Oryctolagus cuniculus: one gene and its partners. The protein of the gene in region 2 binds, or shares a complex with, the protein of the main gene of each other region. Links are inferred from orthologs where the notes say so. Each region holds a gene or a part of one and is shown on either strand. Other genes may lie near its edges.

The links.
Region 1: PRPF3 (region 2) and SNRPD3 share a complex: the UniProt entries of both Homo sapiens proteins name them as parts of the U4/U6-U5 tri-snRNP complex. The link is inferred for Oryctolagus cuniculus from reciprocal best matches to the Homo sapiens genes PRPF3 and SNRPD3.
Region 3: PRPF3 (region 2) and LSM5 share a complex: the UniProt entries of both Homo sapiens proteins name them as parts of the precatalytic spliceosome. The link is inferred for Oryctolagus cuniculus from reciprocal best matches to the Homo sapiens genes PRPF3 and LSM5.

What each region holds. Positions count from the first base shown.
Region 1 is NC_091452.1:31,112,265-31,116,940, reverse strand, and holds the start of SNRPD3 (small nuclear ribonucleoprotein Sm D3), read left to right. Parts: upstream 1-1,786; 5' UTR 1,787-1,900; intron 1,901-3,638; 5' UTR 3,639-3,656; coding exon 3,657-3,782; intron 3,783-4,676. Other genes in the region: protein GUCD1, read right to left, coding at 1,461-1,671. UniProt on the Homo sapiens protein: Plays a role in pre-mRNA splicing as a core component of the spliceosomal U1, U2, U4 and U5 small nuclear ribonucleoproteins (snRNPs), the building blocks of the spliceosome.
Region 2 is NC_091438.1:47,654,404-47,659,030, forward strand, and holds the start of PRPF3 (U4/U6 small nuclear ribonucleoprotein Prp3), read right to left. Parts: upstream 3,042-4,627; 5' UTR 2,902-3,041; intron 1,366-2,901; exon of another isoform or gene 1,174-1,365; intron 1-1,173. UniProt on the Homo sapiens protein: Plays a role in pre-mRNA splicing as component of the U4/U6-U5 tri-snRNP complex that is involved in spliceosome assembly, and as component of the precatalytic spliceosome (spliceosome B complex).
Region 3 is NC_091447.1:23,532,975-23,537,416, forward strand, and holds the start of LSM5 (U6 snRNA-associated Sm-like protein LSm5), read right to left. Parts: upstream 2,891-4,442; 5' UTR 2,779-2,890; coding exon 2,733-2,778; intron 1,628-2,732; coding exon 1,532-1,627; intron 1,251-1,531; coding exon 1,223-1,250; intron 262-1,222; coding exon 189-261; intron 1-188. UniProt on the Homo sapiens protein: Plays a role in pre-mRNA splicing as component of the U4/U6-U5 tri-snRNP complex that is involved in spliceosome assembly, and as component of the precatalytic spliceosome (spliceosome B complex).

The sequences.
Region 1 (4,676 bases), on a different chromosome or scaffold from region 2:
GCCCTGACTCCTCGGGGGCTCAGGAGCCGCACCACTCTTGCCCAAGACCAGAAAGAACTGGAAGGGTAGGACTCTAAATCCCCAGGTGACATCAGGCCCAATGTCACGCTGCCGCCACCAAAGAGATCACTCCTGGCAGTCGCGGTCCCCCCTATTGCTCCACCTCTCTCCCACGAGTGCGCCCCTCGGAACCTGCCGGGGCACTGTCCCTTTCTCATCAACTCTGAGCTGCAGGAAGCCGACTTCCAACCTCCCCTACTTCTTGGACAAGCAAACTGAGGCCCAGGGCACTGAGCGGTATTCTCAGGCTCCAGCCCAGAGGGGCTCAGGTTACCTTGGGGCAGAAGGAACCAGAGAATGGTAACCGTAGCAAGCAAACAAGACTAGCTACGTCCTGCAAGCTAAGGGAAGGGCCCACCCAGGTCCCTGCCCACCCAGGTTCAGTTCCCCCAAGAGAGCGGACTCTCCCAAGGCGGCTACAGGAGGACTTTTGCGTAGTTGGCACCCTCTCCACCCGGGGCCCTCCCACGTGACCGCCAGCACAGCTGACTGGGGTCCCTGCCCTGTTAGTATCAGGAAACCCCAGCTGACCAGAGGCTGGGGGAAGGGAGAAGAGCCCGAGGCAAGGGTGTCCACCTGGCCATGATTTCGCTACAGCTCCACAGCCTGGGCAGAGACGGCCAGGGACGCGCGCGGATGGACCCTGCTCCGCGCTAGGGCGGGGTCCCCCTCATTCCCCGGGGCTGAGGGCTGGGCCCTCAGAGAGAGGCACTGACCCGGCTCGAGCGGCGGCCCCGCTGCCTCCGCCTCCGTCCTCATGACCCGCGCAGCACGGGGCGCCCATGGCCCCGGCCCGCTGCGGGCTGCAGCTTCGGCTTCAGCTGGCGCAGGAGCGCAGCCAATGCGTGTCGAACGCCGTAGCCGCCGCCGCCACCGCCACAGCGGGGAGAAGCGGAGGCGGCGGCCGGGCAGCCCCAAGCCCCGCCCCAGCCACTCCAGGTCTTGGATCCGGAGGCCCCGCCCCTCCCCTAATCCCCGCCCCTTCCCAGTCCCAGACTTCGATTCCTAGAGGCTTCCAGCCTCATGATTTAAGCCCGGCCTGGCCATTCACAGTCTCGGTTTCTGGTAGCTCCGCCCCCTTACCGAATCCTCGCGCAGACGCGCGGGCCCTTCCTTCGCTCGGTCCCCCGGAAGCTCCGCCCCTTCTGAGCCCCTCCCCGAGGGCTCGGCGCAGCGCAAACACTGGCTCCCCAGGGGCTCTTTCCCTCAGCAAGCCCCGCCTCTGCCAGGCCCCACCCCTTTGCCGGCTTCAGCTGTAAGCCGGCTCCGGCCCTGTGATTGCCTAGGGTCCAGGCAACCGTACTCTGATCTCTTTAGTGCTGAGCCGGCCCCTGCTCCACTTGGTACCTCAGTTTCTCTGTCCAGACACGACACCTCCCCTCTCTGAGAGTTCCCGTTACCTGGCAGTGCCGGGTTCCAAAGATTAAATTGTGAGGGGAGGTCCCAGCCCTCATTCCCACTTCCTGCTGCCCCGGATCCGAGGACCCAGGCTGTAGATCCCCTCCTTGTCGTCCAGCCAGTCTTTTGTGAGGGGTGCTTGGAAGCGCAAGCCCCCCTCTCCCGTTTCGGGCCCCCGCGTCGGGGCTTCCGGCGGCCCCCGGGCCCTGTCATCAGCCCTCTCTTCCGGCGCCGGAACTATCGTACCTGGGTCCGCGTTTCCCAGCCGGCGGAGTAAGGAGGAAGCGGAGACGAGCTCGCGCTCTGGGACGGTCCCCGCGCGCGGCATTCTGGGAGCGCGTGGTATTCTGGGAGTGCAAGGCCCGCCATTCGCCCCGCTCACGCCTTCTCTCTCGCAGTTGTTGTCGCAGCACCGAAGAGGAGGAAGAAGGGGCTCGAGCCGGTGAGTAGGGGCCGGGGACGGGAAAGGGGAGGCCTAGGCGCTCGTGAGGGATCGGGGGCTGGGGCAGGACGCGCTGCAAGGAACCGCGCAGGGCTCCGGGAGGGAAGGAAGCGGGAAGCCGGGACACCCAGACACCCGCGTCGCCTCGCCTGAGCCTGGGGAGTGAGTTCGTTACCTCCCCCTCGTTTCTGGCTGCTTAGCCTCGTCCCTGAACTCCATCGGCGTCATCCTTGGCCTCCAGCCCCCTTTTCCGGCGCTGATGCAGCCCCTCGTGCTTTCCACGCCATTGCAAAAGCGTTTTCCGAAGTTCCTCTGCTTCTGAACTGTGTGTTCGATTTGGCCTGTAAACGCTGATACCTTTCCATTGGGTCGTTCCTTCCTTGAGATCCCGCGCTGGTTCCGTGCTCTCTGAAACGTAACATTCCAGCTCTGGCGGCGGAGGGCTGGGGATCCTCACGGAGCGAGCCTGGCTGCCCTGTCGTGTTCTCCCTTATTTCGTGCCAGCCTTGCGTCCTTACCTGGCTCAATAAAAACTCCACTGCTTGTCTCTCAACTACGTCGGCAGATCCTTGTGTTTTTCCTCCAAGATAAGCAGTTTCCTACACGTTGTCCCTTTGTGACCGCTTTGCTGTTTTCTCTTTAGCTTTAACAGTAAAGCGAATGGAAAGTCAGAGGCTGAAATAAAAACACAGCCTCCTCTCCTGGATATGTCTGGGTCCTCTGGTTGGTTGGTTTGTTTGTAAGATTCATTTATCTGAAAGGCAGAGTTACACAGTCGGGGTCGGGGGCAGGCAGAGAGAGAGATCTTCCATCCCCTGGTTCACTCCCTCAAATGACTGCAACGGCTGGAGCTGGGGGCCAGGCCAGAGTCAGGATCTTCTCCCCGGTCTCCCACAGGTTCAGGGGCCCAAGCATTTGGCCCATCCTCTCCTGCTTTCCCAGGCTATCAGCAGAGATCTGGAGTGGCAGTAGACAGCCGGGACTTGAACCAGTGCCCCTGTGGGATGCCGGTGTACCCGCTGCACCCCATCGTGGTTTTCAGGATGCAGTCACCCACAGCTGTGGATAGGCAGATGTGTTGCTCAGCATGGACGTTCCGAGCGCCTCTCTCCCAACACACAGACCACATTGGTCACTGGTTATCTTGGCCAAGGAAAAGGGACATGAGGGGCCAGTGTTGTGGGGCAGCTGGTTAAGCTGCCACCTGTGACGCTGGCACCCACGTGAGAGTGCCAGGCTGATTCTCAGCTGCTCCATTTCCTATCCAACTCCCTGCCAGTGCTCCTGGGAGGCAGCAGATAATGGCCTGAGGTTTGAGCCCCTTGCCACCCACATAGGGAGACCCAGATGCAGTTCCAGGCTTTGCAGCCATTTGGGGAGTGGCCCAGCGGATGGAAGATCTCTCTCTCTCTCTCTCTGTATCTGTATCTGTGTCCCTTACTCTGTCTCTAGGTAAAGGGACATGGGAGCAGGTGAGGAGTAGGGAGGTAGGTGGGAGATTCTTTTCCTTTCCGTGAGCTTTCCTTCTGTCCAGCACGCTGTCTCTCCCCTCTTCATATTGTGTGTATTTGCCAGGAAGGCTCCTCCAAGCCAGGAGCTGAGCTGCTCTTGTGTAGAAAATGCAGCTTTGGCACCGGTGTTAGGTTTTATGGGGTCCAGGCCTTGGGGAGACATGGTGCGCACCACACGCGGCCTCTGGCTCTGAAGGCTGGGCTCACTGCTGTGTCTCCCACCACAGCACTCTCCTCCTGCCGAGATGTCCATCGGTGTGCCGATCAAAGTCCTGCACGAGGCCGAGGGCCACATCGTGACCTGCGAGACCAACACCGGCGAGGTGTATCGGGGCAAGCTCATCGAGGCAGAAGACAACATGAACTGCCAGGTACGGGAGGCTGGCGGCGTCTCCATTGTGCCCGACGTGTGGCAGGCGCTGCCGCGGGCTCCGGGACTGTGGGCCTGAGCAAGAGACAGTACTGGGGCAAAGAACCGTATGGAGATTTGGAATAGTTAACTTTGGCCTTTGCCTTCTCCATCCCATAATTGTCCCCTCCCAACTCCCCATTTTAAAGATTTATTATTTATTTGAAAGGCAGAGAAAGAGAGGGAGAGATCTTCCATCTACTGGTTCACTCCCCCAAATGGCCACAGTGGTTGGATCTGGGCTGATCTGAAACTGGGAGCCGGGAGCTTCTCCCAGGACTCCCACGTACAGGGACCCAAGCACTTGGGCCATCTTCTACTGCTTTCCCAGGTGCATTAGCAGGCTCAGAAGTGAAGTAGCTGGGACTTGAACCGGTGCCCGTATGGGATTCCAGTGTTGCAGGCAGTGGCTTCCCCTGCTACACCACAGTGCCAGCCTCTCCCATGTTTTGGGGCCTGTTTGAGAGAAATGGTGTTACCACCTTCAGCAGAATTCTTCAGGTTCAGGGCCATTACCCTCCCACCCCCACCACCCCACACAGTGAGCAGAAACCTGTGTGCTCTTTTTCTTAGAAGAGGGGTCATGTTTGATTACTGCAGCTGCCTAGTGAGGTAAATGAGTTTGGTGATAGTCTCGGCATCCAGGAAAGAGGGAGAATGTGGTTAAAGGACTCATCTACTGAATATTGCTCTGCTAATAAATGATAGAGCAACTTTCTAACGTGGTGTCTTTCTCAAAGCACTGCTTTTTACATAGTCAGGTAAATTTAAAACAAAAAGATTTATTTGAAAGGCAGAGTTACAGCGAAAGAGTGGGAGAGATAGCTTCCATCTGCTGGTTCACTTCCCAAATGGC
Region 2 (4,627 bases):
CCACGTGGGTGCAGGGCCCAAGCACCTGGGCCATCCTCCACTGCCTTCACGGGCCACAGCAGAGAGCTGGACTGGAAGAGGAGCAATCAGGACAGAATCCGGTGCCCCAACTGGGACTAGAACCCGGGGTGCTGGCGCGGCAGGCGGAGGATTAGCCTAGTGAGCCACGGCGCCAGCCCCCCTTCACATCTTTAAAAGGCAAATACTTTCTCCAAGAACCATCCTCATACTTTAAAGCAGAAACAAATACATTCCATTTGATTTTTAACCCTAACTCAGTAGTTATCAAAGGATCAATGAGGGCTGGTGTTGTGGTTAAGCCTCCACCTGTGACACTGGCATCCCATATAGTCGCTGGTTCGAGACCTGGCTGCTGCACTTCCAATCCCACTCCCTGCTAATGGGTCTGGGAAAGTAGCAGAGGATGGCCCAAGTGCTTGGGCCCCTTCACCAACATGGGAGACCCAGAAGAAGCTCCTGGCTCCTGGCTTCAGCCTGGCCCAGCCTGGCCCAGCCCCAGCCATTGTGGCCATTTGGGAAGTGAACCAGTGGATGGAAGATCTCTTTCTCTCTCTTTCTCCTTTTCTCTCTCTCTGCCTTTCAAATAAATAAAAAAAATGAATCTTAGAAAAAAAAAATCAATGAAACCTGTGGAAGAAACAAACTCTAAAAATTACTTCTAGCTTCCTTTTGAGCAAATCAATAAAGACTGGCATATAACATTAAAACAAGACTAGGGTAGGGGCAGGAGTTTGGTGTGGTGGCTTGGGACACCCATGTGTTCGTCAAGTCCCAGCTCTACTTCCAATCCCAGGGGATGATGGCTCAAGGATTTGGGTCCCTGTCATCCACATGAGACCTCAATTGAGTTTTAGGCTCCTGGCTTTGGCCTGGCCCAGCCCCAGCTACAGTGGGCATTTTGGAAATGAACTAGCAAATGGACGATCTCTGTCTCTATGGTTTTTTTTCTGCCTTTCAAATAAAAATAAATAAATGAATTTAAAACAAGACTAAAGGGCAGGTGTTTGCTGTAGTAGGTAAGACCCTGCTTGCAGGGCAGGTATTGTGTGCTACAGCAGGTTAAGTCACTGCTTGAGACATCTGCATCCTGTATCAGAGCACCAGTTTGAGTCCCAAATACTCCCCTTCCAATAACAGCCCTTTGCAACATGCCTGGAAAGCAGCAGATGATGGCTCAAGTGCTTGAGTTCTTGCCACCCACATGAGAGACCTGGATGAAGTTCTTGGCTCCTGGATTCAGTGGTGGCCCAGCCCCAGCCCCTGCTTTTGTGACATTTAGGGAGTGAACGAGTGGATTCAGAAGATCTTTCTGTCAGTCTGCCTTTCAAATAAATAAATGAATCTCTAAAGAAAGAAAGAAAAAGACAAGACCAGCTTGGAATGCCTGGGTTTGAGTCCTGGCTCCACTCTTCATTCCAGCTTCCTGATAACTGCACATTTTGGTAGGTTGCAGGTGATGGCTTGAGTACTTGGACCCCTACCATGCACTTGAGTCCATTCTCCAAATGCCCACAATAGTCAGGACTGGACCACACCAAAGCCAGGGGCCAGGAGCTCTATCCAAGGTGCCCACACGGGTCTCAAAGACCCAAGTACTTGAGCCATCATCTACTGCCTCCCAAGATACGCAACAGCAAGGTGGACTGGAAGCAGGGGCGAGACTCAAACACAGGCACTCCAGTATGGCACACACATGTCTCAAGCGGCAGCTTAAGCTACTGCAGGACAGCACAGTGCAAATTCTCCATTGCATTCTACAGGATCTCTGTGAGAAGTCGTGATGAAAGTACTCTCTCAGCTTGGGAAAAAAAAATGCCCTCACTTTAGATGTTCTCTTCTCAATCCCTTTTTACCTGTACCCTACTTTTTAATTCATCACAGAAAATAGTATTATAAAGGACTCTCCCACACAAATCTTTGTATTCAATGCAAGTTAGTATAAAATGTCACCATTAATCATGTCTATATTTTAATCTAATCCCTAACTCTCCAAATTCCTCAGGAGCACAAAGATTTTATTTCTAATGTTCTTCACAGTGCCTAACAGATGGTCAATAAATGGTACAGACCCCTACTCCCAAGCTAATCCCATCATTCACAAGCCCTTGGGCAAATTAATTCCCATAAGCCCCTGTTTACTCAAATACTAAGTGTCAAGCAATGTAGAAGGTGCTGATACAAACAGCAGAGAACAAAATACAATCACCCTGGCTGTAACAAGGGCCTACATTCCACGAAAACTCCATCACAGGCCAGAAAGAGTAAGCAATTTGAAAACCAAAGCAATAAACGGAAGAATCTTTATTTTCAGATGAAATGTGTGCCCAAGCGCTGTACTAACAAAAGTGTATTCAAGTTCAACCTAATTCCCTCTGAGATGTTAAAAAAAAAAAAAAAGTTTCCAACAGCAGCCTTTGCTACTGACCCAATGCTCCATAATAACGGCTGGTGGGAGTGGGGGCGGGGAGAGCTGGCGTGCAGAAAGGGAGGCAGGCAGAATGACTGCTCAATGAGCAGGCAGCAGAATCCAATCTTCTTAAAGGATTCCCTACTCTACGCTCTCCTTTGCTGCAACCCGAGTGCTCCCAGGAGCCCCCCTCCTCCTGTTTTTACTCTCGCTCTCTCTCTCACCGGCCTCCTCCCTCACCTTGTTCTGTCCAAACTCCTCACCCCAGAGCTGCTCTCCCCAGCCTGTCCCCGTCCCGCCCCCGCCCTTTTCCTCTCAACAATCTCATTCCAATCCGTTCTCTCCCGAACCGTGTGCTTCTCTCAGCATCCTTCCCGCTGGACCCTTCACCCTGTTCCTCCCCTCGGACTCAGCCCCGGCCCCAGCCGCTCCGACGGGAAGACACCCTCCCCGGGCCCGGGGCCACTACTCACCTCACAAACTTCAGCCCCTGAGACGGAGCCCGAACGTTACACCGGAACCGGAAACCTTCTGACCGCCCTACGGCCTGCCGTCGCTACCGCCACGGCCGCCGCCACGCTGCGGTCCCCTGACACGTGACCAGGGAGGGGGCGGGCCGTCGATTTGCGCAGCCGCAGTTGCCGCTCTGGCGACAGCGGAGCGCATGCGTGGCACAGCCCTAAGGTTTCCCCGTCCAAGTTGCTGCTGGCCTTCGGTTTCTACAGGGAAAAAAGATTACGAAGTTGGCGTAACTTTAGGTGGTTTTCAGTTTAAAAAAAAACGCAAACAAAACAATTTTTAGTTTTCTTCGTGTGGCGGATAAACGCTCTAAAGTTACAGGACTAAAAGGAGGACTTGTTTGTGCGTGCTGAAACGTGGCCTTTCTGGTAGAAAGTAAACCCTCTCGGAGTCCTGATCATCAGCTTTAGTCGCCCCCCAGCCTTTTCTAAGTTAACAGTGGGACCGGAGGTCATTCAGGAACAAGACAAGGGTAGGAAGACTCAAGCAAGTAGCTTCTAATACCTTTTTATTGTTAGATTCATTCATTGACGGAACAAATCTTTATCAACTGCCTACTAATGTGTGCTGGCCACTTGAGAGTATTGCTTTAGTGATTGTCGCGAATGCCTGCTGTCACGCAGCTCGACAGGGCTTAAGGGCGAGGTGTCGGAGCACAGGGAGGAAGGAACACATGGACACAAGATTGTCTTTCCAATGAAAGGTTTTTATTGCCCACACAATTTCACACTAGGGCTTGACCACTCTGCATACCAATCTACATTGTTATATTCAGTACTCCACAGATCATAACACACACCTAGCAGTCTCAAAGGCAATCCAACTATAATAATATAAGCACATAACATTATTCTTAATCACAGGGTCAAGGCACATGCCTTCATATTACACACGGCTAATATCATTATAAGTGCTGCGTCCTCAAGGGTCGTATCACGGTCACCAAAAGTCAAAGTCCAAAGTCCAGAGTTCAAAGTCTTCGTTACCACTCGGAGAGATGGATCTCAGGACAGTCAGTTACAGGCAGGAAGTTTGGGGATGGCTGTCACTCTGGGCAGTAGGTTCAGAGGGCAAGGCAAGGAGTTGGAGAGGTCCCCTGCTGAGAGGTCTGGTGTTGGTCTGGCAGCAGCCAATAACGGGTCCGGGTGAGGCGGCCAGGCAGCGGCTCCGCTGGAGTTTGGTCCCGTAATCGCCTTGCGTCACTTAGCAAGGGTGCTAGCAAGCTGGCTCTTCAGCTCCAGATGTGTGGAGATCCAGAGGTTCACACACATCGGGCCATGATCCTCGAGAGCGGTGGAAAAGGCTCTCCTTTATCCTTGCCACTCTGAAGGGGGAGTCTCCAGTAGGGGTCCGGGTGTCACCAATCAGTTGTGCTCCCTCTTGGAGTTTCCCGGGGTGCCACCCATCCGTTGTTTGGGACAGGGCGTATCTGGAGTATTCCTTGGGTGCGGTCACTCACAATGTGAGTAGGAAGGAAACTTGAGGTTATCGTCCGTAGCACACGTTATCAGGCTGCCCAGGGATGTCTGTTCAGTCTGATGAGGAGCATCTTTCTGGCAAGCCCTGAGCTTGACATAAGTGATGTCATCATTTTCTGGCTTAGCATAAGTAACTCCATTTTTATTTCTTGCTTTTACTTCTTTGTGGACAGCAGTGAGCTATAACCATAACTCTTTTTAG
Region 3 (4,442 bases), on a different chromosome or scaffold from region 2:
AAAAAGCCCAGCAAACTAATCCTTAGGCCTAACACCTTCTCAAGAGCTTGGCTTTAGGGCCCTGACTACCAGACAATCTCTTTCCCACCCTAAGCACCACCAAGCCACGGCATGAGTGAAGCAACCGGCAACATTACTAGTTAGGTCTGTAAGCCCTGTCCCACAGAAACAGTTTTAACGTGTCTTACCATTGTTATATTATTTCCATTTAGCAAAATCTGATCTAATTTAGTGATCCTTCTTCCTTCCGGTGTGATTTCACTAAATGAAGTGATAAAACAGAAAGTCAGGATAAATGGTGGTAACCAAAGGCAGCATTTTAGAAACACCTTCTCTCTCTAAAAAGGTAATGTTTGTATAAACGAAAGTTCAGCAATTATAAAGGTGATTTTCAGAGATAAAAGTTATCCACTGGGTAATGTACACTCTTCATCAAAAGCAAGAGTAGACCAATGGATATAAATAAGATCCATAGCCAAGGGGGCTGGCACTGTGGCTCAGCAAGTTAAACTGCTGCCTGCAGTGCTGCATCCCATACAGGCACTGGTTTGAGTCCTGGCTGCTCCACTTCCAGTCCAGCTCCCTGCTGATGTGCCTGGGGAGGCAACAGAGGGTGGACCAAGTGCTTGAACCCCTGAACAGATGTGGGAGACCTGGGGAAAGCTCATGGCTCCTGGCTTCAGCCTGGCCCAGCCCTGGCATTGCAGCCCTTTGGGGGAGTAAACCAGCGAATGGAGGATCTCCCTCCTTCCCTCTCTTTCTTTCTCTCTGTAACCTGGCTTTTGAATAAATAAAGCTTTAAAAAAGATTCACAGCCATGAGACTTATCTTCAAAAAAAAAAAAAAAAAAGGTGGAACCTGCCAAGATCAAATATAAAATATTTAGTAGACTCACTCTTTAACATTTTGTATTACTACTGATTTCTACCCACTAAACTACTATGTAACTAATACTTATCACTTACATTTTACATTATATAGTTAAATGTTTTCATCATCAGGTCCTTGATATGACCTGAGCCTTAAAATCCCTGCACGTTAACATCTGTTACCTTCAAGCTTTGTCTCCACTAATTTCCTAGCAATTCAGCAACAATTACATAACTTTTACAAGCATTAGTAAATAAAAGTTGCCTCTACTTCCATTTTGCTGACTAAACAGTACTTAAAATGTCCTGAATTTGAAAAAGAGCCGAGTTCTGTCATTTTTAGCACTACTCACAATTCAGTGACATCTTCCAATACCATATCTGAAAGGTGGTGTTAAGGAAATAAACACTCCAGGTTGAAACAACTCTGGTTTCTGCTTTCATTCAGTTGTAATGATAATATTTAACACAAAGGCTCATAATAAAAAGGCTGACTGTTGGTAGGAATGTGACCTTCTTCCAGTATACTCACCTCTGAAAACACCATCACAAGTGCCCTGAGATGAACTGACTTTTATCGTTAACACCCAGAAACACACTGTCTACGGTTCTGTTATTAAATAAACAGGAAAAAGCCACAGCACCACGTTTTAAAAGGATACTGACGAAGTCATCGAAGCCAAGAAGGGTGCCAACAATTTCCTTATCACTCTTCATCACAATGTGAATTCTGGATCCTATACATTTATCCACAAGCTCTGCGTGAGCAAAAAGATTATTTTACCCATTCATCATTTTAGCACATACTCGAGTGCACGCTGGCATTTGTTACTTGCCAAATTCAGTGAAAATTAAACTAGGAAGAACATCCCCCTTTGGTAACCTCGGATCTTAAAATGCAAACCTCTGCGCTCCCACTACTTAATCAGAAGCCTTTCCACTTCTCCTTTCTGTGCAGCAATCTATCATGATTGTGGCTTTATCTTTATTCCAGATCACGTGATTAATTTAGGGACACAAACACATCCCCCCAGACTCTTAAGCGCCACGAGCCCGGACACTGTGCTCATTTTCGCCCATCGCTGGATCTTCAGTGGACAGGGACGGGCATTTACGGGGCTTTCCACGAGCCTAATCACTGAAGTCCGTCAACGCAACCACTCCTCGCCGGCTACACAATGTCAGAGGCCGCTGACCGTCGTCGCGGGAGCCTCCTGTCACCTCCTCCCTCGCCAGTGAAGCCCCGCGGTGCTGGGGGCAGCTTCAGCACCTCTGGCCAGCCTGGCACGGGGGGCACAAGGTTTACTTGTCCAGTACTGTCTCCTCCACTGGCTTGTGTACCCTTCGGGAGCGATGGCTGTGGTTTAAGGTCGCTGTGGACTAGCACGCAGGAAGAACACGGGCTCTTACTGAATGGATGGATGAATGAATGAATGAATGGCAAACAGGGCTAGTTTCCAGATTCCTCCTCTAAGGCTCGTTCCACAGCGCGCTGCTTCCCGCTCAACTCCCAGACACACAACAGGGTGAACCCCATCTGGGGATCCCAAATGCCACTCCGGACACGGCGCCGCAGCGCTCCCAACAAACACGGCCGACGGTGCGCTCGCCCAGTGCGGCCCTCTCCCGCCCACGGTTCGTTCCGGGGGAGTCCGAGGAGCTGCCTCCAGGGGCAGGAGCACGTTACATCGCAGCAGCGGCCTGGCGCGCAGGAGCTCGGGAGCCGGCGCGAGCCGCGGAGGGGAAACGCTCGGCCCCACACATAGGCCCGCTACCAGCCAGGGGTGCCTCGGCCGCAACCCCGCGGCCCCCAGTCCTGAACCCCAGCCTCCCGCCCCAGCTCCCTCACAGGAAAACCATTACCTAGCGGCAGCAGCTGCGAGGGGTTCGTAGTAGCGTTAGCCGCCATGGCTACGCCGGAAGTGGCCTGCGTCCATCGACGTTCCACGGTGACTTTAAAAGAGCGCGCCTGCGCCTTTGCCCGCGGCCGGGCAGGCTCGACCAATCGCAGGCCGAGCGGGCGGCCGGCGTGCTCCACGTGGGCGGCGCCCGCGCGCTGCCTTGCTGGGGAGTGGGAGTCCTGGGGTGCTGCCCTGCAGATTCGTTCCCAGGCTTCGGAGAGACGCTGAAGATTGCTAACCTCCTGAAGGAGTTCGTCCTCCGACCGAGAGGACAGCGCATAAGGAAACTTTTGGCTTGTTTTCCCATAAAATTGTCTTTATAAAGACTAGTAAAAATCAGTATTTCCCGCCACCAATTCACTCTTTGACAGAGTTACAGTGAGAGAGACAGAGAGAGGTCTTCCGTCCGCTGGTTCACTCCCCAAATGGCCCCAACGGCCGGAGCTGGGCCGATCCGAAGCCAGGAGCCAGGAGCCTTCCCTGGGTCTCCCACGCCGGTGCAGGGGCCCAAGGACTTGGACCATCTTCCACTGCTATCCCAGGCCATAGCAGAGAGCTGGATCGGAAGAGGAGCATCTGGGAATACAACTGGTGCCCTTATGGGATGCCAGCACTGCAGGCGGAGGATTAACCTAGTGTGCCACAGCACCGGCCCCAAAAACATTCCTTTTCTTGAGGCTTCTGTCCCGGTTGCTCCTCTTCCAGTCCAGCTCTCTGCTGTGGCCAGGGAGTGCAGTGGAGTATGGCCCAAGTGCTTGGGCCCTGCACCAGCATGGGAGACCAGGAGAAGCACCTGGCTCCTGGCTTCAGATCAGCGTGGTGCACCTGCCGCAGTGCGCTGGCAGCAGCGGCCATTAAGGGGTGAACCAACGGATAAAGGAAGACCTTTCTCTGTCTCTCTCTCTCACTGTCCACTCTGCCTGTCAAAAAAAAAAAAAAAAAAAAGTAAAAGAGGGGCCAGCGCTGTGGCGTAGCAGGTAAAGGCTGCCTACAATGCCGACATCCCATATGGACTCCGGTTCAAGACCAACTGCTCCTCTTCCAATCCAGCTCTCTGCTGTGGCCTGGGAAAGCAGTAGAAGATGGCCCAAGTCCTTGGGCCCTGCACCTTTGTGGGAGACCTGGAAGAAGCTCCTGGCTCCTGGGTTCGGATCAGCACAGCTCCAACCCTTGTGGTCATCTGGGGAGTGAACCAGTGGATAGTGCCTCTTCCTCTCTGTAGTTCTGCCTTTCAAATAAATAAGTAAATCTTTTTTTTTCAAAATGGTTTACACATTTTTTTTTAAATGTAAAATTTTGTTTTATACTGAGGATTTATAATAGCTTTTTCCTTTTAACTTGTTGCTACTTTCTTAATTTATCATCCTTGCTGTATCTAAAACTCTGTAGTTTATTGAAAGCTTATTTACTACTTATTCAACAAAGTATTATCTAAGGCTATCACCAGATGTCAGTCTAAGTTATGTGTTAATATCATCACACTTAGAAAACATACTTTTACGTTTCTGTTTTGAAAATAATAGCAAATTCTCTGCCTTTGTCTATTTTACATTTGTATCCTAGGAACTCAAACAGTCTAAACATGGGAGGCCACAAAGATCAATTATTCAAACAACAAACAGTTGTTAAGCAGCCATCATTCCTTCCTGGAACAACCTGATGAGTGTAAAAG